4 linked regions of the Schizosaccharomyces pombe genome follow. The gene in region 3 interacts genetically with the main gene of each other region. Each region holds a gene or a part of one and is shown on either strand. Other genes may lie near its edges. The genes, in order: dca7, sea2, SPOM_SPBPB10D8.02C and sqs2.

Region 1 (5,233 bases), 3.2 Mb from region 3:
AAGCGGACATTAAGTACTAGAATAAATCATAATTCGCCGCTATAAACCATAGTCCCTTATTCTTTCCTCATTTAGAAAAGACTGCTGGAGGTTTGCACGATTTAGGATTGTTCAGTAACAAAATACTGTTTATTATCTTCATTTGCACATACAGTGTGCTAATATATGTACCATTTACATAATTAAAGATACGCGTGGAGACTTCAGTTAGGATTTGAACATCGCGTAAATCAGGAATTACGCGTTTTTATTTATCGGAAACATGACTATAGATTTTGTAAACAGAGTCTTGCCCAGCTGTATACCAAAGTTCCGTTTTATAAGTATTAAAGCAACGTCACAAAGCAGTCTTCTGTGACTGAATTCTTGACTGCTTCTTAACGAATTCATACTGCACTGCAGTTCTTAGCTGTTATGATCATCACTATCTATTTTAGTGTGGTAGCTAACGACAAGAGTAAATTTAAGCTAATATACCATGCTACGTTAATACAAGCGAAGTTAAACGAAGTTAAAAAATCTATGTGTCACTGTACTTGTCAAATCAAAGTTAGTTATGACAAAATCGTTACTAATTGCTATTTAATTGAATCCATAATAAAAGCATTAATATTTTCTTTACTAGTAGGTAATCCCTATCTCTTTTCATTTACACATATGGATGTAACGCTTAATGTGTTTTGTGTTCCATGCATCGCATTCACAGCATGCAGCTGATTTTTTGTAGTAATCAGCCATGGCTTCTGATTTATGATTTATCAAATCGTTTACAATTCCACATGTGTTACATTTTGCGGTAAATTTGCTTCATTAATCAAAAAACGTAAAGTATTTTAAGCTCCTGCCGCACTAATTTAACAAACAGAGATTTCACTTCATAACAATAATAGAATAAGACTATTCAAAGTTTTAATCGATGTAGAAAGCTAAATTAAAAAAATTCTGTAAAAGTTGCTTGACTCCTTATCATTTGAAAACACGTATCGCCCTAGAGCTTTGTACATTTCCAGCGTTGCTGAGATACGCAAATGAAAGTGGAAATTGCATAAACATTGCGCTTGAATGTGCAAACCCAATTGCCAAAAGTTTCCGAAAGACATGTAGTTGATTTGAAAAAACCATAGTTCAACACGCAACTCATAGGGTTCTATTTCCAAATTTTCTCAAAAACAAACATAACTTTTTTGAATTTTATTAATAGTTAACAAGAAGACAACGAAGGACAACATAAAATGCCTAACTAGCTTTGCTTGACAAAGTAATTAAGCAAATGAAAAAAGCGTAAGAAATTTATTCCTCAGTGTATTTGCATTCATAATCTAATTTTTTTTTAATTTTTTTAAATTGAAATGCGTAAAACAACACTAATCACAAAATCTAGATCATTGAGGGACCTTCAGTATTTCAAGGGATCTAAAAAAAGATGTTAATATTTATTTTACTCCAAAAGTGCTTACTTTCCGTAAACAACCGCTAATCCGTCGTTTTTTACAGACCAGCTTAGATTGTTCACTTCGTGTTCCAACTTCCAAGATAGTAAGGGAGAATACTGGTTATCAGCATTCAACGGAGAAGCCGTCTCACGCATAGAATTCACCGACGAAACGGGTGTCACATATTCTGAAGTCGAGCCCGTCATACCAGGTGTAGTTCCAGATACACTCAGCGTTGGAGCTGGGGAAGGATTAACTGGCTGATCCAAATCCCATAAGGAAACGACACAGTCGTCCCCACAAGTGGCTAATTTTGATTTAGAGCCCGGCATCCATTTAACCGCATTCACGTCCCCCTTATGTCCACGCAAAGTGGCATAAGCAGTTCCCGGCACTCGGATGTCAATCATTTGGACGTCAGAAGAATTATGGTGGAAAGTTGCCATTAAATTAACATCGGAATCGCAAGCAGAAAGTCGAAGTAAAGGAGCTGAGACAGGAGGAGAAGCATTTGTATAGTCACCGTTTCTCTTCCAAAAGGTGCTATCGCCCTCATATATGATCGTGGAATGATCCAATGATCTAAAGAAAGTTAACAAACTACTGTCAAAAGGAAAAATCCAATTGCCGATTGTGGATCGCATACCTCAAGTCAAACATGCGGACGCTGCCATCAGCTCCTACGCTAACAAAAACATTGATACTGTCCTTGAGAAACGCAACGTCATAAACTTCTTTGTCGTGAGCAATTAATTGTGTTTTTGATTGCTGGGCTACAATGTCCCAAACTGTGCAAGTGGTATCAAGGCTACTCACTACGATATATGAAGGATCAGTTTTGCACCAATCAAACGAAGTTAGAGGAGCATTATTATGAGTTTTTACATGCTATAACATTAGTCGCCAAGAAGAAAAAAGAAAATCATACGGTAGATAAAGAGGCTTGACATAACAAAGGAGAATCAATCCCCGCTTCAAAATCGGTTTTCCATAATCGCAATTGCTGATCCGTAGAAGCTAGCAACTGGGAGTCGGTGTTAGAACCAACCGATGAAGGATTCCATAACAACTTCGTAACTGGGTATTCAAGATCAGTTGCTGCTTGCGCCTTTTCCAAGTGAGAATTTCCATCATCCCCAGTTATTAGTTTTAACAATTGTATCTAAACAATTTTTTGGTTAGTAACTTCGTAGAACAGAGTACATCTTTGGAGTCTATGCCAAAAGAAGCACAGATAAAATTATATAATATTTCCCCTGGTTTTGCAATTAGCATACCATATTATTTGGTTCTTCATTCAAACTTCCCATAGCAATCCATTCACTAGAATATTTTCCTTGTTTTAACCAATCCAAGGCAAATGGAATCCACGGTGCATTGTATCCAGTATATTCTTTTCCCGCTTCAAATTTGTTAGGCAGTTGTCTTTTGGGCGATCCGTAGAATTTGCCAAGTGAATCAAGTACTGATTTTCCAACGCCAGCAGATATTGAATACCTATTTCTACGTAAATCTGTCATTGTGCGCGAAGTGTGGATATTGGGATAAAGTAAGTAAGCGCCCCACTTATGATGTATATTCAATACAAAGCAAACAGCGAATACCGGCTGCAAAGCGAAAACGCAAAAATGAAGAATTGTTTTATTATATTTGTAATTTTTTTCCTATTCAATAATTTTTTAGTAAATTAAAAGAAGCGACTGCGTACAATTGCTTCACCCTTTTTTGTTGATTGACCTTTGATCCCGTACTCAGCGCTTCCGTTAAGGTATCATTACATATACATTAATATCATTGTATGCGTGAAACACAGAATTTTTTATATCTATTTAGAGTTAAGATAGTTATGTTTTAACAAAATACATTTCGGGTTACTTTAGCTTCTGTTTGCTTCCAGTTTGACGACATCGAAAAATGTCCATTCAATTAACATGCCAGCAATAAAAAACAGTGGTTTTAATAAAGCCAAAAACATTGTGGCATGGGAAGGCCTCGATATCATTTCTGGACGCATCCATGTGGCTTAGTTATTTCATTACTGATAGAATTGACTTCGAGAAAAATTATGAAATACATTAAATTTTCTTGATCAAACAGTTCATTTGCAAAGCTACTGAACCATGATAATTGTTATATTACATTGTATTTGTAAAGTAATATTGTACTAGGCATTGATACGTACTGCAAGTTAAACGAATGATCCCAGCGTAATATATACTATCAAAAAATACTAATGAAAGTATAACTGTGAAGTCAAACAACTATAATGCTTTAAAAAAAAAATTCGACAAAAATTAGCTACTTTGTTAAGCTAAAGACTATAAATTTATCGATACTAAAAGCGAATGATAAGAAGGCAATGAGAATCATATTATAGAACGATCAGAATAGCTTTACTTAGTTCGTTCATTTTGATACGATACTCATATAAATCCCTCATTGGGTTGAGATATCTTACATAGTTGATGAAACATACAATTTGACTTTTTTCGATAATACTGAATATTATTTAGGTGGTGTGGTGTGGATAACATGATATAGCATTACATTTAATATACCTGAAACATTTATTGGTACAAGTGCCCTACCCTTACCGAATGTGTTGGTGGAATGAAGCACAACGGTTCAGGGTATTTACCAACAACGAAACACCACCTGCTGTTATATAGTTTGTAAGATTTAAATAAACAGGTCTAGTTTCGTCGAAATGACTATGGTGTACTCTGATAACACCTCTATTATAACGTCAGCAGGTACGTCGAGCGTTAAACAATGAAAAAATGTAGAAATCATGTTCACTAATCCTTTTGATAGGTGGTTTGATGGCCCTGCTGGACGAGCAAGAGCGAGAATTACAAGTACATGCTTTACTAAAAATTTATGAGTTTATTGATCAATTATGGCCGGAAATATCGGATGATGTTACGAAAATTGAGGTTATGTATGAGGACCATTCATTTCCTGAACGCGAATTAGCAGCCTTGGTAGTCTCAAAAGTTTATTATTACCTTGGAGAATATGATGAGGCTCTTTTGTTTGCCTTGTCAAGTGGTCCAAAGTTTTTGCATGACAAAAATAGTGATTACAAAGAAACACTAATTTTCAAATGTATTGATATGTTTATTCATAAAAGTGCAGAGTTGTACAAAAATCCAAAGGCTGACCCCTTGGACGAGAGACTAAGTGGCGTAGTCGAGGGCATTTTTCAAAAATGTTATGCTAAAAACGAATGGAGACATGTTTTGGGAATTGCTATCGAGGCTCATCGACTTGACATTATTGAATACATTTTAAATGCAGACAAAGAGACAGATTTAAAGCCTTATGTACTGGAACTTGCAATGACTGTTGTTTTAGACATTGAATTCCGAAACCGCTTACTTCGTCTATTACTAAGTTCTTTTCTGACAGAAACAGAACCTGATTATTTCTCAGTTGGAAAATGCGTTGTTCATTTGAACGATGCCTCTGTTGCAGCCAAACTTTTAATGAAACTATCTTCTCAAAACGATGACAAAAGCTTATTGACAGCGTATCAATTAGCCTTTGATCTTGAAGATTCGGCTCCACAAGAGTTTTTAAATAGTGTGATGGATTTGCTTCCTTCTCCCTCTGTGGCCAATTCCGAAGAGGACGCTAACGCTGATTCGAAAAAGGAGGATTCTTCTCCTTGTGGTTATATTATTCGAATTTTGTCTGGTGAACAAACCGTTAAATATGACCGTGAATTTTTATATGCACATAACAATACGGATATGCTTATTCTGAACAGGACGAAAGATTCTTTAGAAGCCAGGAAC
Region 2 (8,757 bases), on a different chromosome or scaffold from region 3:
TGGTATAAATCAATTTGGAAACCGTATACGTCAGATTCTTATGTCCTCTGGTTCCACTACCTTTACCAAGATTGCTAATAAATGGAATACTGCTCTAATAGCTCTCATGACTTATTATAGGGAAGCCGCGATTTCTACGCCCGAGCTTCTAGATTTACTTGTTAAATGTGAATCGAAAATACAAACTCGAGTAAAAATTTCATTAAATTCTAAAATGCCTAGTCGCTTTCCTCCAGCCGTTTTCTACTCGCCTAAAGAACTTGGTGGATTAGGAATGCTTTCAATGGGTCATGTACTTATTCCACAATCTGATCTTAGATGGTCGAAACAAACTGATACTGGTATTACTCATTTTCGAAGTGGAATGACTACCAATGGAGAACATTTGATTCCAAACCTTTATCGTTATATTCAGCCATGGGAATCAGAGTTTATTGACTCTCAGCGTGTATGGGCTGAGTATGCAATGAAGAGACAAGAAGCTCTACAACAAAATCGTCGTTTAACTTTAGAGGATCTGGAAGATTCATGGGATCGAGGAATTCCTCGTATAAATACTCTATTTCAAAAAGATAGACACACATTGGCATATGATAAAGGATGGCGTGTTAGGACTGAGTTTAAGCAGTACCAGCTCCTTAAAAACAATCCATTCTGGTGGACGAGTCAAAGACATGATGGAAAATTATGGCAATTAAATAATTACCGAGTAGATGTCATTCAGGCTTTAGGTGGTGTCGAAGGTATTTTGGAGCATACGATGTTTAAAGCTACTGGATTTCCTTCATGGGAAGGTCTTTTTTGGGAAAAAGCATCTGGTTTTGAAGAATCCATGAAGTTCAAAAAGCTTACTAATGCTCAGCGTTCAGGTTTAAATCAAATCCCTAACCGTAGATTTACGCTTTGGTGGAGTCCCACTATCAATCGTGCTAACGTTTATGTCGGATTTCAAGTACAACTGGATTTGACTGGAATCATGATGCATGGCAAAATTCCAACCCTGAAGATTTCACTCATTCAAATTTTTCGTTCTCATTTATGGCAAAAAATTCATGAATCTGTTGTTTGGGATTTGTGTCAAGTGCTTGACCAAGAATTAGAGTCATTGCAAATTGAAACAGTCCAAAAAGAAACTATCCATCCTCGTAAAAGTTATAAAATGAATAGTTCTTGTGCAGATATCCTCCTTTTGGCTGCCTATAAATGGAACGTATCAAGGCCATCCTTATTGAACGATAATCGCGATGTGCTTGACAACACTACCACCAACAAATATTGGATTGATGTACAACTTCGATTTGGAGATTATGATTCTCATGATATTGAACGTTATACTAGAGCTAAATTTTTGGATTATAGCACTGATGCTCAAAGCATGTATCCTTCACCGACCGGTGTCTTAATCGGCATTGATCTTTGTTACAATATGCATAGTGCATATGGTAACTGGATTCCTGGTATGAAACCATTAATTCAACAGAGCATGAACAAGATCATGAAAGCCAATCCAGCCTTATATGTGTTGCGTGAACGCATACGAAAAGGTCTTCAATTATATGCTTCTGAACCCCAAGAGCAGTATTTGTCCTCCTCAAATTATGCTGAACTCTTTAGTAATCAAATTCAATTATTCGTTGATGATACTAATGTTTATCGGGTTACCATTCATAAAACATTTGAAGGTAATTTGACTACGAAACCCATTAATGGTGCTATTTTTATATTCAATCCGAGAACTGGTCAATTGTTCTTAAAAGTTATTCATACGTCAGTTTGGGCGGGACAAAAACGATTGGGACAATTGGCGAAATGGAAGACTGCTGAAGAAGTTGCTGCTTTGATTCGTTCTCTGCCTGTTGAAGAACAACCTCGACAGATTATAGTAACTCGAAAGGGCATGTTGGATCCATTAGAAGTTCATCTTTTGGACTTTCCTAATATAACCATTAAGGGTAGTGAATTACAGCTTCCTTTCCAAGCGATTATTAAACTTGATAAAATCAATGATTTGATTTTACGTGCCACCGAACCGCAAATGGTACTTTTCAATTTATATGATGACTGGCTTCAATCGGTATCATCGTATACAGCTTTTTCACGCTTGATACTTATCTTGCGCGCATTGAATGTCAATACTGAGAAAACGAAGCTAATTCTTAGACCAGACAAGTCTATAATTACAAAAGAGAATCACGTGTGGCCCAACCTGGATGATCAACAATGGCTTGATGTTGAACCGAAACTTAGAGATTTGATCCTTGCTGATTATGCTAAGAAAAACAATATTAACGTTGCTAGTCTTACGAACTCGGAAGTGCGAGATATTATTCTCGGTATGACAATAACGGCTCCTTCTCTTCAACGTCAACAGATAGCTGAAATAGAAAAGCAAGGCCGTGAGAATGCCCAAGTTACGGCTGTCACCACAAAAACTACTAACGTGCATGGTGATGAAATGGTGGTTACTACAACATCTGCGTATGAAAATGAAAAGTTTTCTAGTAAAACAGAATGGAGAAATCGTGCCATATCATCTATCAGTTTACCCCTTCGTACAAAAAACATTTATGTTAACTCTGATAATATCAGCGAAACTTTTCCTTATACATACATTCTTCCTCAAAATCTGCTTCGTAAGTTTGTTACGATATCCGATTTAAGGACACAGGTTGCCGGATATATGTATGGTAAAAGTCCGTCAGACAACCCTCAAATTAAGGAAATTCGTTGTATTGCACTTGTACCACAGCTTGGCAGTATAAGAAATGTGCAGCTTCCTTCTAAACTGCCTCATGATCTTCAGCCTTCTATATTAGAAGACCTTGAGCCCCTTGGTTGGATACACACTCAAAGTTCTGAACTTCCCTATTTATCATCTGTCGATGTAACTACACATGCAAAAATTTTATCTTCTCATCCTGAATGGGATACCAAAGCTGTAACTTTGACAGTGAGCTACATTCCTGGTTCGATATCCTTAGCTGCATATACTGTGTCAAAGGAAGGAATTGAGTGGGGATCAAAAAACATGGATATCAACAGTGATGAAGCTATCGGGTATGAACCTTCTATGGCTGAAAAATGTCAGCTGCTATTGTCCGATAGAATTCAAGGATTTTTCTTGGTACCAGAAGAGGGCGTATGGAATTATAATTTCAATGGTGCAAGCTTCAGTCCTAAAATGACGTACAGTTTAAAACTTGATGTCCCTCTGCCATTCTTTGCTTTAGAGCATAGACCTACTCATGTAATAAGCTATACTGAACTGGAGACGAATGACAGATTAGAGGAAGATATGCCAGATGCATTTGCATGAATGAGGAGCTATTTATTTTCGTAACTGGATTTTGGGCAATTAATGTATATTTTGATTTTTGCTAATTTGAGTGCTTTATGACATCTTGCTTTAGTTAAATGGAATTTAGTGAAAAAGCTAGAAAAATGGGTTTTTAAAATATCCCACATTATCATTATTAGTTTATAGTAATACAAATTTTTCATCAAGTACATATGCGTTAGATTATAGTTTTTTAAATCAGAGCACGTTTATCTAGCAGTTTGACACCGCAGCCGGGAACTGGACATACTGGCAATGCATCGTCTGTATTATCAAAATACCAAGAACGTAGACAGCTTTCATGACCGATGTGGCCACAAACGGGAGGATAAACGAGCACGCCTCTTAACGGTAGCTCACAATAAACACATTTTTTGAGACTAGTAACGGTCTTTGCATTTTCTTTACCTTTTTCGGATTGCTCGTTACCGGTTGCTTTTTTGTTTTCCATTTCAAAAATCAAATCTCTACTACTTGAATGAATGTACTTGAGATTTTTTGAACCAGACATGTTTATAAGGAGAGTAGCTTCACTGAACATTCCGAATCTCCTTAACAAATCAACATAACTTTCAAGTAAATCGTCTAATTGAATCCGTGGTAAATCTATAGTTAGGTATGAAAAAACTGAACAAACGCAGGCTGCCGTTTGGACATCTCCTCGAGATATACAGTCGCTTATAATCGATGTAACAACATAAGGAAGTTCAATAGGAGGTAGATCATCGATAGGAATTTCAGAATCAGTATCTCCATGTAATGATAACTGGTCTAAAAATATAGATGCTCGACGTGAAGAATTACCAGCACTCAATACGGCTTCTCTCGATTTGATTGAAGCAGATGTAACAGAACTTCTGTGGAATGAATTGAACATTTCGTTATGTGACGTACCAGAATAATTTGATGCTGCAGAATCTAGTAAATAGGATGAATTGATGCTTGCCCGGCTATCAGTTGAAAAATTATTAACCGGTGCTTGTCCTTTCTTTAATACGATCGGATTTTCTAAATCATGCCATTGCGATTGCTTATTAAGGACGGCTTTATCGAGATTGTCCTCGGATTCGATAGATGAATTAGAGGATTCTGAAGGAGTAGATGCTTCCCGTGGTTCAAAAAAATCATTTAATGATAAATTATCATGAGCGGGGGTTGAGGACGTTGAAATTTGCGTTAAATTTTTTAAATTTCGACCTTTCTCATCATCAGCCATAGAATTGTTAGCAGAAACAAAAGGAATATTTATTAATTCACTAATTCCTTTATCAGAATTGTTAAGTACCCCTAGTGAAAAATACAAAGCATCCCAAATTTGATAAGCAAATTCAGCTCCAACATTTCGTGCAAAAAATGCGTTCTCTTTACAAGCAGAAGAGATATCTCCTGATATGCGATAATTTTTGGCTAAATAGCAAAATTGAGCAACATCTTCAGAGCGATATGCAAGGATCCCTAGTTCCTGAGGAATGCCAACAAAATTGTGAGGCACAAAAGGAACAGGATTACTTGTGGACCCATCAGAATTTTGAGAGGCATATAAAGCGGACTTTAAAGAGCTGATATTGCTCTCAAAAGATGCGACACGATTTAACGACGACAATCTTTGATTAGAAATAGGATTTGAAGAGAACACAAGGCTATTTTTAGTTGACCATGAACTAGTTGCACGTGGAAGCATATCAATACAATTAAAGGCATTTTCAACTCTCGTCTGAGAAAAAATTCCATCTTTACTACAAGACCAGAGTAGCTCTGTAGAAGCCCAATGCATCGTTGAAACAATACTATCATGACAACTGACGGTTCTGTATGGGATATAAGGCCTAGTAATATCCCAAACATTTATTGCGGTATCACCTACAAGAGAAGAGCTTGCAAGTTGATTAGAACCTCTCGATTGCTGATTAGCCGGTCGCCAACGAACACAATTGAGGGGACTGACATTATTGATAGTTATAAGGGACTTTTTTTTGTTGCTTGTGGAATCCCAAATACGAATAGTCTTATCTCTCCCGCATGACGCTAAAAAAACACCATTAGGACTATAATTAACACACAAAACAACACCATTATGTGCAGCTAATTTTAAAAAAGGAAGTTTTGGAAACCGGATATCCCATTTTTGCAAGATCCCACTGTCATAAGCGGCAACGAACTCATTTGGCTCAGAAGGGGAGAATACGACGTCTCGAGCAGCTTCAGAATTTCCACGAAAAGTGATTGTTGATGAGCTTTCCTTGTAATCCCAAAGCTTAATTAACCCATCCTGAGAGGCTGTTAAAACGTAAGACGGGTGAAATGAAGAGATATCCAATTTATGTACGGCTCGAGAATGCTCATTAAAGTCATAGAGAAGGGCTTCTAAATTAACATCCCATACATTGAGATTACCAAGCGGTGAACATGTAAAAATTAAATTTGAAGCAAAACTACTACCCCACTTTACATCATTGCAAGAGATGTGCTTTGTTTGTGTTGATTTTTGTAGAAGGTCAGAGATGCAAACAGGAGGCTTTGAAGAGTTTGGATTAACAGCTAGAACTTTTAGAAGCTCTCGGCCTGCTACACCCACTTTTGTACGGCTTTTATTTACCGAAATAGCACTGATGGAGGCCTTTACATCAACAACCCAGTCTTGGTAACTAACAAGTCCTTTGGATGACTTTACAGATGTGCTAGCAAGTTGGGCATAAGTAGGTCGCTGAAGGACGTTTGAGTTTCGTGAAGGCATTTACGAATTTGAAAACAAAATGAAGCTGGTAGAGTAGCAGCTGATGCCTTCTAAAATGATTTAGGAAATTTGCATACAGAAAAGGAAACAAGTTCTTAAATATCGGACAGGAAGTCAAAGAAATTGCTGAAGTGAAATGCAAGTATGGTGACACTCACCGTACATTGGTAAAATTAACGTTGCAAGATCGTTCAATAGTAAAAGTCAGAAAAAAGTAGACTATTCTTTATCAAACTATTTGTTTTGATACATTAACCAAAAAGATAAAGTAGAAAAGTAGAGGAGCAACTAACAGTAAGAAAAGTTTCTGCTAATGTAAATATCAAGTCCAATGTTAGTGAACAAATAAGAGCTTTCGAATTTTCAATTATTGAGGAAATTCAATCAGAACAATTACACATCGGAAGTTTTCAAAAGAATAAAAGTTCAAATATAATTTATTTTTACGAAGTTCAGTTGCTTATTGCTTCTAGTAAGTTTGGTTTTGTGAATTTACTTCTGAATCTCGCTATGAATCAGCAATATTGCATCCTGTAACGCTATACTGCATTCCTGTAGAGTTCATTATATAGGTTTCACATTTTACTATGGCATTTGTCGCGTATACATGACTTATGATTTAAAATTTCGTTTACGCTGATTTACAACATTTAAAGAATGGTACTGTTGAGCTTATCTTTCAATGCTTCTTTCGTAGAGTTATAGTAGCTACAATATTAAATATGAAGATAACATGTTATATATGACGATATAAGTAAGCAAAGCCGGTCAGTCCAATGTCAGTTGCACAGTGTCAATCGAAAAAGCGGTTTGCAGTACCTTGTCGGTTTGTATTTTGTAATATAATGATGCTTTCGAAATTAAATAAACAAGTCTTCATTCCATAAACGAATTGTGAAGCAAAGTAATTCGACTCTACTTTATATAGTACTAATTAGTAAGAACAAATCATCAGTTTACCGTACAAGAGTTAGTTTGCTGATAAAGAGTTTACGCAGTCTACTGTACCTTAAACTCAGATACGAATTGCGTAGCTGGAGTTACGCTAAATGATCTATTAAGTCCAGTTGCTACACATTGAATTAAGATGGCACTCGTCAGGCTTATACGAAGCCGCTTTTCACTAACCACCTCTGAAAAACCAAACTGTCATTGGGCGTTCCGTGATATAATTTCTTGGAACTTTTCTTTATTTTTATTTAAATTTTCGTGAGAAATGACGTCTCAACTTGAAAAAGAAGCAAGAGAATGGATCGAAGAAACTTTGCATACGAAATTGAATGCTCAGTTAGACTTACTGGATCAATTACAATCCGGGGTGATTCTTTGCAGAATTTGCAAAGAAGCTTTAGGCGCTAACATTCGATACAAAGAATCTAACATGCCTTTTGTCCAAATGGAAAACATATCTGCCTTCATTAACTATGCACAGCAAGTTGTACATGTTCCTTCACAAGATATGTTTCAAACTTCTGATTTATTTGAGCGGAGAAATGATGAACAGGTTTTAAGAAGTATTCACTCCTTTTCGCGCTATGCCGCGAAAATGTTTCCCGGCAAAGTTCGTGGTTTGGGTCCTAAATTGGCAGAGAAGAAGCCTCGTGTTTTCTCAGCACAGCAGCAGCGTGAGTTTCGAGAAGGCGTAAATAGTCTTCAGTATGGAAGCTTTGATATGCCGACACAGGGAACCGAGAAGATTGCATTTTCTAGACGCAGGGACCCGACCGGAAATATGTATTAGTCTTGTGTAGGGAAAGAGATTGAAGATTGTATAACTTTATATCTTCGCTTCTTGTACTTTTTGATAACTTATTTATTTTCATTCATTCGTAAAATCTGCCGAATCCATAATAGGAGTGAAACGTGAGGTCTTGTAAAAGATGTGTATAAATATAGAAGCTTAAGTTTTGCTTTAAATATTCATAATGATATGTTTTTTTTACGACACTAAAACATAAATTGAATTATAGTTTGATTCGTAGTTTGAAAACACATTTAAAATCTTATGTTTGGTGCTGTATTGCTAGATTTCTCGTCGTATCAAATGACTTAAAAAAGCAATACGACAATTCATTGTTTCATGAGCGTTTCCTTACAAAGCTGCAGAGAAAAAAAAAAATGTTGCAAAAATTAGTTATGGAAGTATCAGTGATTAATAAAAATGCACACTTTATTTATTTATTTTGTTATTTTTGTATTCAATTTCTTAAATGATAAGCAGGTCGGTAAACGTATTTACAAATAGTTTTGTGAGATATTATAAAAAAAAAATGTATGTACATTGAAAATTGCAGAAATACTAGAGATGTTGTTAAAATTGTTTGCTTAAAATTTACTCAAGTCAGAAATTAAATAAAAATTTTAAAGCTTGTATACAAAAGAAAATGCTGGTAGACCAGTTTTGCAAGAAACAAAGTAGATAATAAAATTGCATGTATTGCATTTGTTTAGACATTAGTGTTATTAAAAGAAATCAAACAAATAAGTTTTTAAACATTTAAAGTGTAACAAATCAAACTCTTTTAGAGTAGCAAAAAACCAAGGCTACTGCCATTTCCACATCGCTAAGAGTCAATATAGAGGAAAAAACGTTTGTACATTTTCAAAGTTTATTCTTCCGACAACTTATCACAAATCGAATTTTTATTTTCTAATTTGTACATGATGCTATATTGTTGCTCAACAC
Region 3 (5,900 bases):
CTGATTTGAATTCTACCTTGGTGGGCGTCGCTAGTGCCGGATATAATTGCGTTAGCGCAATTATAGCAACTTATATGATGAGTGTGATAAAAAACCAAAGTGCCTTTCACGGAGCTATATGGTATATCCCAAGTATTGCCGGAGGAATTGCGTGCGTAGCCATGTCATGGGATCATAAAATTGGGGAGTTAGCAGCTATTATTATAGCAAGCAATTTTGGTATCCCTTTTATTATTTCTCTTGGATGGACAACAGCCTCTTGTGCTGGATACACAAAGAAGCTTACTCGTGGTGTTATGTTTATGATTGGATATGCCATTGCCAACATCATTGGCCCACAAATGTGGCAGAGTCGTGATGCCCCGAGATATTATCCTGCTTGGATTGTTCAAATAGTAATTGCTTGGTCTGTTTCTCCCTTTGTATTGCTGATCATTCGCTGGATTCTTGTTCGAAGGAACAAAAAGCGCCTTGCTCTTCTTGAGCAGAATAAAGAACAGTATGAAAAGACTTGGATTGAGACGATTGATTCTTCTGGAAATCACGTTTCCGGTTTTTACGAAAATTCTATGCTTGATTTGACAGACCAGGAGAACCTATCGTTTATTTATCCCTTATAATTATCCATTTAAACGAAGGAATAAATCTTAAAAAATAACTTTTTGAAGTATTCATGAGAAATGTTTACAAAATAATTTCAAATTCCCAACAGTCATGAAAAATCCTTCTACTATTTGCTTTTTTTTTTGCAAAATTTTGTATTTTTAAACTACTTGCCCGTAAACTCTTAACTTATTTTAGACTACTACAAGACAGTTGCTTTATTTACTTGTTTTTTTGTTTCCTTTAGGATTCCTAACCTTTAATAGTAATCTTCGTCTTTAGCGAAGAATAGTTTGAAATTTTGTTTGTATATATTGCTGAAAGCTTTATTCAGTTACTATTTACATAGATTGAAAAGAAGAACTAGCATTCATTGCTAAATAAAATGGAGGTCGATTTTTATCCCCAATGGTTTCTCATAGTTTACTTTGCTGCAAAGTTGCGATTGAAAAAGAGATGTTCTAAAAAAGTATTTTTATATCAATTATAAAGCCTAATACGTAGGGGAAATCCAAACCAGTTAAATTTTTCAGCTCGGCTTTGCATTCCATCTGATAATTTTCGCTGTAGATTATCATATTTAAAAAACATTGAATCAATTGGTAACTTAGCATATATACGTTGATAGATGAAATCAGCTATTATTAGATTTTATAATCTTTAAACTGTGGTGTTTAATAAGTAAAAGACTGGAAATAGCCCATTAAATTAAACAATTAGCTGAACCCGAGTTCCATATTTGCAATAAGTTTTTTACCATTAATAAACTGCTATGTGGTGTTTCATTAACAGTAAAAAATTATTGTAAAATTCAATATCATGAATAATCATTAAAGATTGTGCTTAGCTGGTTTGAACAAACCGACGTTTTCGGCAACAAAATCGTCTGGGGCTGTTACTACTCCAGTTTCAGCTTCGTAGACCAACCAATACTCGATGAGTTCGTTTAGAATATCTGGATGGACTTTCGCTAGATTTTCAAGCTCACCTTTGTCCTGGGAAAGATCATACAGCTCCCATTCTGTTTTTATTCCTTCTTTAGGTACATATATTGCCTTATAATTTCCTTTTCTGATAGCTCTTTGCCCGAAAAGTTCCCAGCCGCTAAAGTCAGTATCTTTGTGTACGGGTTTTCCATGCACAAAATGGTCAATCCAAGGTTTCCCACGGGGGATTACAACATCTCGTCCTTGAAATTTGTGCCCTGGGTGAGGGACTTCTGCTAACTCAAGGATGGTTGGCAGGATATCCATAACCGTAACAAACTCATCGGAGATGATGTCTGGCTTGATCAATGGAGGATAGCGAATTATAGCAGGACATCGAATACCACCTTCTGTAATAAAACCCTTGCTAAGTCGAGAAGGAGCGGTCGCAGCCTGTGCCCATCTTGGTCCGTACCAAATAAATGAATTATAATTACCCAAGTTTTCCAGTGAATTGTCAAAATACTTAACCGGTGGTTTTGTGCTTAATACCGGGATTGCTTCCAAAACTGACCCTTCTGCACCGTTGTCTGACATAAATATAACAAATGTGTTGTCAAGTTCTCCAATAGTTTTCAAGTAGTCAATAACACGACCAATATTCAAATCTAATAATTCGACCATTGCAGCATAAACTTCCATCGTTCGCGCAGAAAATTCTTTCTCTTCTGTTGTTAGTTCGTCCCATGACTTGGTTCCCATTCCATCTACAGGTGCTGGAATTACATTTTCTGGTATAAGTCCCAAATCCTTTTGGGCTTGCAAGCGATTTTTTCGTAACACATCGGGGCCTTCACTATATCGTCCACGATATTTATTAATATATTCTTTTGGTGATTGCAACGGCCAATGAGGTGCTGTAAATGGGAGGTAAGCAAAAAATGACTGGGATTTTTCACGATTTTTTAACTGATCAATTAATTTTTCTGCAAAGTAATTGGACGAATAAAAATTTTTTAAGCTTTTGTGATCAACAGGATCATGATTGTGGGTATACAATGGTGGTAAAAAAGGTACAGCAGGGTTTTCTCTAGTACCAGGTTCATATGCAAAATGATTACCACCTCCAGGTAAAAGTGCAAAAGATTCTTTAAATCCTCGCTTTGAAGGGTAACGATCTGGGGTTAGTCCAAGGTGCCACTTTCCAGACATTGTGGTATAGTAACCCGCTTCCTGTAGAATCTCTGGTAATGCAGCAACTCTATCATTTAGGTAGCCTTCGTACCCAGGCTTTCCACCCCATACTTTCGAAAACCTGCGTACTGTCTCTGCCATTTGCCCTAAACCTGCTATGTGATTGTCTGTACCGCTTAATAACATAGATCGAGTAGGCGAGCAAGCAGAGGCTGTATGAAAGTTTGTCAACCGTACACCTTCCTTTGCAAGCCTCTCAATATTTGGAGTGTGTATTTCACTTCCAAACGGAGAAACATCTGACCATCCAAGATCGTCAGCTACGATGACCAAAAAGTTTGGTTTTTTAGATTCAGCTTGTTTATTAAAAGCCATAGTTACTATTCAAATTTTTTTTGATTGCGAATAAATTTTTATGCAGCTCAAACTGTAATTTTTATTTTATGTTCATAAAGGGCATGTGAGACAAGAGACAGCCCACAAGTTGATTAAAATATGAAAAAATATATTTGCAACAATTGTCTTCCGTAATAGATTGCAAAATTACAAATACCTAATGAAGAAGTATGGCGTGCTATCACGTAAGCTTTGAGTAACATCATCCATATTAAAAAAGATACTCATACATTCCAATTTACTGGATCAAACTGTAATTTACTTATCTGAATATTTTAGAGATAAGATTCAGTAAATCAAGTTTAAAACTAATTACTGTCACTCACTCAATATGTGCAAAACTGAGTTTACTGACCAGGAATTGACTTTTTTTTTTTATTTATCAAGGAAATATTAATTGAGTTATCAATCCCAAAGGAAAATATGTGAAAATATTTAAACACTCGCCAAATTATATTAATTGATCTTTATATCAATAAATGCTTTACTCTAGAAAAAATCGGTTTCGGTAATATACTACAAAGGAACCTAAATAGATTTTGAAGCTTTATACATATAAGAAAACATTAATTTTCTAAAAGATACCAAATGATAATTAACAAGGACGTCGATTTTCGTTATTTTGAACTTTCAACGAGAAATGTCAGTGGAAGATTCAACATATTTTCTATGAGATAAATTAGATATAATAACATTTTGCTTTTGACAATAACTGAGAAAAATCATATTTATACCTAGATTTGTTGAGTGATACGAATTTCATACAATTTAATGGGGGTAAACTGCGATTAAAATTACGTTTTGGTCCTTTGTATTGTCTTATTGATATGAAATATCAGACACGAATATTTTCATACTAAGTGGTAATAATTAATTTACAACTGACCTCGGATTCTCTTTTCGTTTGAAATTAAAATAATACTTAATTATTACAATTGGAATTTAATAATCTCGATTAGTGGACGTAATATATATGAAGATATGAAGAGTATAAAAGTATCGAGATGTATCATAATAAAGCTTAATGCTATATATCTGAAGATTTTTTTCTTGGTAAATTGTTTCCGTAACTAAGGGCCGTCCAATAATTAGACTTCCTAAGTTCAAAAATAGTGGACCAATTGTTAAAAAATACAGATAAAGAACATCTTAAGACATTCACAATATACAAAAACAACTTGTTTCAATTGTAGGAACTTGTAAAGTTAAAGGATTAAGTTGTTGTACAGAAAGGATCTTTGCGTAATGTTGGATCCGAGAAAAGATGTAACATTCTCAAACAATCCATACATCATTTCCCTTCAACGCACTTTTGGTACTATCAATTGCAATTATAAGTGAATTCAAATTATATCAAAAGAGTTACGTAAATTCATATTTATCAGATTTGGTCTGATATTATGTTAAAGTGTAAACTTATTGAGCAGCACCCACTATTTTCTTTTTACTCATTATTATATCGGATGTATTCAAACTTGGTTTACATTTAAATAGTAATAGCAAATCGTTTTAATTACAAATTAGAATTTACACGTGTTAAGTTGTCATTGTTACTCGGTAAATGCATCCTAGATTATGACTATAATAATTTTGTTTAAACATTCCTTTTCTTAGCATGTTTTCATTTGTGTTCGATGGGTAAAAAGCTAATAATATTATTATAAAATAAGCTGTATTATAATAATAGGTTGTCTGAGCCGAAGCAAGTAATTGTGCTAACTACATTCCCATATACGCTTATTATTGCAAGGAATTTTAAATGACTTGGAAATGATTAAAAAGCAAAATTAATTGGCTGTTCACTTTTATATATAATGTAGCGGCATGTAAAGTGCTACTAGTATAGGCATATAAATATTTATTTGAGCGGACATCTTTTTTTAACTATAGTACTTGGAAAAATCGTATACGGTGGATCATTAGCTGATTAAACCAGAAATATTACAACTTAGTTCAACAACGCATTATTGAAAGTGAAAGCGAGTCCTCAGATGAGCAACATGAAGTATATCAAAATGGTATTATCTACGATACTGATTAAAAGGATGAAGCATCTATATTTGAGAAATTAGGTGATGATGAATCTGCTCATGAGGACAATATGCTTGAACTTGGAGAGCCCTAGGAATTTTCGAAATTTTTTTGGAAACGGAGAAAGCTAGATCCAAACTCCATTACAACAAAAAAATCCATTTTTGATGATCCTAATACGTTAGCTGCTTTCAAACCTAGTCCTTACTATGAAAGTAGACACCGCATCGATCCTTTTTTTAGATGGATATGGGTCAGGAACAAAAAGTTGTTCGTAAAATAGATATGCTCATTATTTCATGGGCATTCATTATGTTTTTTGCACTAGAATTAGATCGTGCCAATATTCAACAAGCCCTTTCAGATAACATGTTGGATGATTTAGGAATGAATACTAATGATTACAATAAGGGTATGACAATATTTTATTGTTCCTTTTTAGCGGCAAAACTGCCATCTCAATTAATTAGCAAGAAGATAGGTCCCAATCGCTGGATTCCAACCCAAATGGTTTTATGGAGCATTGTTTATATTTGTCAATATTCTTTAAGTGGAACAGCATTATTTTAAATTATGAGATGGCTTCTAGGTATGCTTGAAGGAGGGTTTATTCCCGTCGTCATCTTGTATTAATCTTATTTTTATAATGGACAAGAAATCTCTTTACGCTTAGCAATTTTTTTGGATTTCTAATACCTTGTCAGATATTTTTGCTTTTATTGTAGCTGTAGGCATATTAAAGATGCGTGG
Region 4 (4,521 bases), on a different chromosome or scaffold from region 3:
GATAAAGAGAACAAGTTACTGGCCTACGTAAATGATAATAGACATTTTTCACTCATTAGGTATGATTTACGTATTCTTGTTTACACCATTGCGAAAGGACTTTGCAAAAGGATTCATTACTTGAAATACTAACTAGAGGATTGTAGAGCCCTCCACCTTGCAGACTTGATTACTTTAATGAACGGGTTTTGCGGTGTCATGAGTATATTTTCAAGTTTACGTTACTGCCTAAGCGGACAGCAATCAGCTTTCCATTTATGGAATGCAATGTACTTTATGCCATTTGCGTTGTTTTTTGACTTTTTGGATGGTAAAGTGGCTCGTTGGCGTGGGAAATCTTCCTTAATGGGTCAGGAATTGGATAGTCTTGCTGATCTGGTATGTATAACTTCTCAAATCTGTTCCGAGACTATTTTCACATTGGTTGCTTTGACATGATAAAAACACGAGGAACATGATAAGAGGCTTCTTTGGTTGAATTTTTTCTTCATTTTAGCTAAGTCGAGCTTTTTTTTTTTGCTTCTCGTTTTTTACATTATGTCGGTTTGTTCAATGAGTCTGAATTTTTCTCAATAAACATGCGATTGCGTATAATTCTTGATTATATATATTTTTTCTCTCTCTTATCCGGTCTTTTTATATCATTATACTAACAAAATAGATTTCATTTGGCGTATCTCCAGCCGTCTTTGCCTTTTGTTGTGGATTCCAAACGTTCCTTGATACCGTTATACTTTCCCTTTTTGTTTTGTGTGGTCTAACTAGATTGGCTCGTTTTAATGTTTCTGTCAATTCCATTCCTAAAGATGGATCTGGCAAGTCTCAGTTTTTCGAAGGAACGCCCATTCCTACCACCCTCTCCTTAGTAACCGTTTGCGGAGTTTGTATCTTAAAGGGAAAGACTCATGAAAATCTACCTTGGGGTGAGTGGTGTGGAAACACACCTTTTGCATTTCACCCGCTTGTGGTTTTGTTTGTGTTGAGTGGAATTGCTATGACTAGTAAGAAACTCAAAGTTCCAAAAAGTACGTTTCTATTACATTCGCTCAAATATGTTTAGAATGCTCTTTTTTTTTATTTTGTTTATATTAACTGATCGATTTTTTAGTTTGATCAACTGATGCTTTTATTCAATAGAATCCAAATGAAACTTTACAGTACAGCGATCTGGGTATACACAGTTTTTTTCACTTTTTGCTTTTGATGTTACTCGCATGCGAAGCCTTTTCCTCTCTTAAATTTATAATCCTTACTGAATCTCTTCTCATATCCTGTTTTTCCTTTTTTCTTCCATTTCGAAGATAAGTCTGTCCTTCACCTATTCGACTTAACCATTTTTAACGTAAATGCACTCATCATTGTTCATTCCTTCCCCCTTTTCCAAATATGTATTTCCGTCCTTTTAACAATTAGAAGCTGTTTTTCAACTTACCAGTTTTCTATTGCTCTCTTTATGAAAAACTTATGAAATTGAATTATTTCAAGTGATTGTACCCTCAACGGTAAAATATAGTAAAATTCCTTTAATTATTATTTCTTATATAGTCATCATGATGAGCAACCAAAAATAAAATTCTTTATAAAAAAGAAACTTTCCCAAAATGATGGTGAAAAGTAATTTTTCCTTCTAAATAAATAATGTTTTGTAAATATACACTATGAGGATTTAAAATCTCCTCGTCAAAAACTAATGAAGACCCTGTTTATTATTTTTTACAACAGCCACAACCGGATCAACCATTCCTTGGTTTTCAGAACCAAGTCCCTTCCCCCGAGACCAACCCATCATTTCTAAAAGTTGTTTTCCTTTGCCATTATTTATAGCGGGAGCGCTAGAACCAACAACATGACCGTCCATACGCTTTTTTGTATTGGTTGACACACTTCCTTCCTGTATTTGCACGCGTTTCCTTTTTTTCAAACCTTTAGGAGTCATTTCAACAAGTTTGGATTTTCTTTTCTTTGACAATTTCACGTCAGTTTGAAGTGCAAAATGACGATCATACTCAATCATGCTCAACGAAGTCTCTTCTTCCGCAATGTGGCTCATATAATCTAGTTCCACTTCTTTTCTCCTTTCACCAAACAGCATTTCATATTTTTCTAAAGCATCCTCATTGCTCAAGTGCTTCGATGGCTTCTTTTTTGGTTGAACAATCTTTGGCTTCCTTGGAGGAGGTTTTGGAGATGCCTCTACATTTTCCCATTGAGAAGATGTAATAAAAGAACCGTCTTCCACAATAATTGCCATTGTATTAATAAATGTTCGAAAATTCAGCAAATTTACAAAAACCAGCCTGAGTTGGCATTGGTGCTATAAAGAATGCACAACCCAAGAAACTTAAATTTTATGAGATCAAGGATAATAATAGGGATTTATTAAAATCAAGCCTGACTATTCCACAAATTCGCTCTCAATTATAAAAGTTTTGTTCGTGCAGTATAGCTTGCTACTATAAACCAAGTGTGACTTGGTTGATGAATAATTGTTACTTTGGGTAAGTAAATACTATCGCAGTGGTTTTGATCAATTATTAGCAATACCCTGATAGAAAGGCTCAAATATAATTTTGCATGTTAAAAATACTAGAATTCTTCAATGCTGTCCGGCAAAAATTTCTTCAAACAATCAAGTTTTAAGTTGACGCCGCAAGATGTCTTTCATTTTCTTAAAAGAAAAAAAACAAGCTAGGTCATCAATAAAATAATATGATACTGGAAATAAACATTCTCTGATGCACATTTACTAATCTTTCCGTCTGCAAGTTTCATAACCTCATATTAGGAAACCAACTACCCTGCATGGATTAATATTTAGACCTTAGACTACAATTTGAACAATGTTCTTCAAACACACCTTTTCTAATCACTAGAATAACAGGTCCAAACATTTGTACCATACATTCCGTATGCACACTACTAAACAAAATCCCTTTATTCACCTTAAACTATGCAAAGATAACAGCAACTACTTACATTGGAAAGGTAAAACAAGTAGGTAAAAGTGTATAAAACAAACTTTTCATTTCTAAAAAACATAAACGTCAAACAACACCCAATAACGACTTTCATGAAAAACACAAGCCTATTCTACAAAGACAGGGCTCATGTTTTCCTTATAGTTCTCGCCAAGTCAAGGAAAGTTTCGATTCAACGAGACACACAGAACAAAAAAAAACTATTTAATCTTAGAGCTGATTTCCTCGCCCAATGCCTTTATTTCTTCAGGAGAAATAGGATAAGAGGGCCAGCCTACTCCTAATCCATATTCTTCGTTAGGCTTGGGAATGATATGGAAATGAACATGATCCACAAATTGGTGAGCAATGCGACCATTGTTTTGAAGTACATTGTAATTTTCAGGACCAATAGCCTTTGTCACCTTTTTGACAAGGGGAAGAATATCTGCACAAGACTCATCGCTCAGTTCATGCATCTTAGCGGCGTGCTCCTTGGGAATAACTAGTGCATGTCCCTTAGATGTAGGAGCAATATCAAGGAAAGCCAAAGACAAGGCTGTTTCAGCTAGTTTCACACAAGGAATATCTCCTTTAACAATTTTACAAAATATGCAGCTCATAGTGGTGGTTAGCTTAAGTCAAGGATGTGCAAGTGGGAAAATTATCGAAATTTACCGTAGTTAACGTAATAAACAGTGTGAATAAGTCAAATGTTTTTAAAAAAAATGTAAATTTTAAAAACGACTTACATGAAATCAATAGTTAAATTCTTCCTTAAAAATGGAGTAATCGGCGAGGTTGCATTTCTCAAAAAGCTTTGCAGGTAGTCATCCTTGAAATGCCAAACTCATGTCACACGAACAAGCCTGTAATACTAATGATATTTATTAAATATTATTTGGCATTTTAATAATAAAGTATCTTATTTTTCATTACTAATTCAGTCAGTTTTTGCCATGATCAGATGTTTTGTGACAAAAGATTTTCCTTTTGGTAGGCCATAACAAATCAAAAACCTAGCTTTACCATAAGAATGTAGGTAATTATGTACGGAAAGAAAGAAGGAATAATATGTGAGTCTCGACTAGTCAGGTTTGATTTTGTTAAGACCTTTCAGAACCAAACATGTAGAATTACTCTTGCTCTTCTATAACAGCTTTCTCAATGCAACGTTTTGTACCAAAGAGTAAATTGCAGAGGTAGTCCAGTATAAAGACAATGCCGTAGAAGTCTTAAATGCCATAAAAGATACAAAGAAAGCAGACATTATACCAGCGGTATTGAATATTTTCAGCAATCGAGAATCCGAAGGTCGCTTCAATATAGACATGTTTGTTAAATAAGTAACAGCAAGGACCGCAGGTAGTACACCGTGAGGATCTGGTAATGTGAGATCGGTAAACCAAAGCATACCCTCTGTTGACATACTCTCGGGACATACATCGACTGCCTGTCTTAACTGATAAGATGCAAACGCGAATAAAGGTAGTTGAGTAATAGGCAATGCGTAAATCATGAGAGGATGACAATTGAACCTTTTGTACAGCTTTTTTCGTACAGT

What was found.
Region 1: mutations in SPOM_SPBPB10D8.02C (region 3) and dca7 together harm fitness less than expected from each alone (positive genetic interaction), as found in Schizosaccharomyces pombe (one large-scale study listed by BioGRID).
Region 2: mutations in SPOM_SPBPB10D8.02C (region 3) and sea2 together harm fitness less than expected from each alone (positive genetic interaction), as found in Schizosaccharomyces pombe (one large-scale study listed by BioGRID).
Region 4: mutations in SPOM_SPBPB10D8.02C (region 3) and sqs2 together harm fitness more than expected from each alone (negative genetic interaction), as found in Schizosaccharomyces pombe (one large-scale study listed by BioGRID).

The regions. Positions count from the first base shown.
Region 1 is NC_003423.3:3,321,749-3,326,981, reverse strand, and holds dca7 (WD repeat-containing protein), read right to left. Parts: upstream 2,980-5,233; 5' UTR 2,954-2,979; coding exon 2,711-2,953; intron 2,596-2,710; coding exon 2,362-2,595; exon of another isoform or gene 2,342-2,361; intron 2,322-2,341; coding exon 2,080-2,321; intron 2,055-2,079; exon of another isoform or gene 2,016-2,054; coding exon 1,458-2,015; intron 1,414-1,457; coding exon 1,383-1,413; 3' UTR 971-1,382; downstream 1-970. Other genes in the region: proteasome regulatory subunit Rpn2, read left to right, coding at 4,141-4,186, 4,248-5,233.
Region 2 is NC_003424.3:2,654,514-2,663,270, forward strand, and holds sea2 (SEACAT complex subunit Sea2), read right to left. Parts: upstream 6,543-8,757; 5' UTR 6,072-6,542; coding exon 3,531-6,071; 3' UTR 3,317-3,530; downstream 1-3,316. Other genes in the region: U5 snRNP complex subunit Spp42, read left to right, coding at 1-3,316; SM22/transgelin-like actin-modulating protein Stg1, read left to right, coding at 7,288-7,812.
Region 3 is NC_003423.3:82,334-88,233, forward strand, and holds SPOM_SPBPB10D8.02C (arylsulfatase), read right to left. Parts: upstream 3,186-5,900; 5' UTR 3,099-3,185; coding exon 1,434-3,098; 3' UTR 896-1,433; downstream 1-895. Other genes in the region: SPOM_SPBPB10D8.01 (cysteine transporter), read left to right, coding at 1-620.
Region 4 is NC_003421.2:1,789,659-1,794,179, forward strand, and holds sqs2 (G-patch type RNA-binding protein), read right to left. Parts: upstream 2,417-4,521; 5' UTR 2,252-2,416; coding exon 1,688-2,251; 3' UTR 1,153-1,687; downstream 1-1,152. Other genes in the region: CDP-diacylglycerol-serine O-phosphatidyltransferase Pps1, read left to right, coding at 1-59, 147-378, 662-1,025, 1,109-1,113; hnt1 (adenosine 5'-monophosphoramidase), read right to left, coding at 3,179-3,580; protein Cox18, read right to left, coding at 4,108-4,521.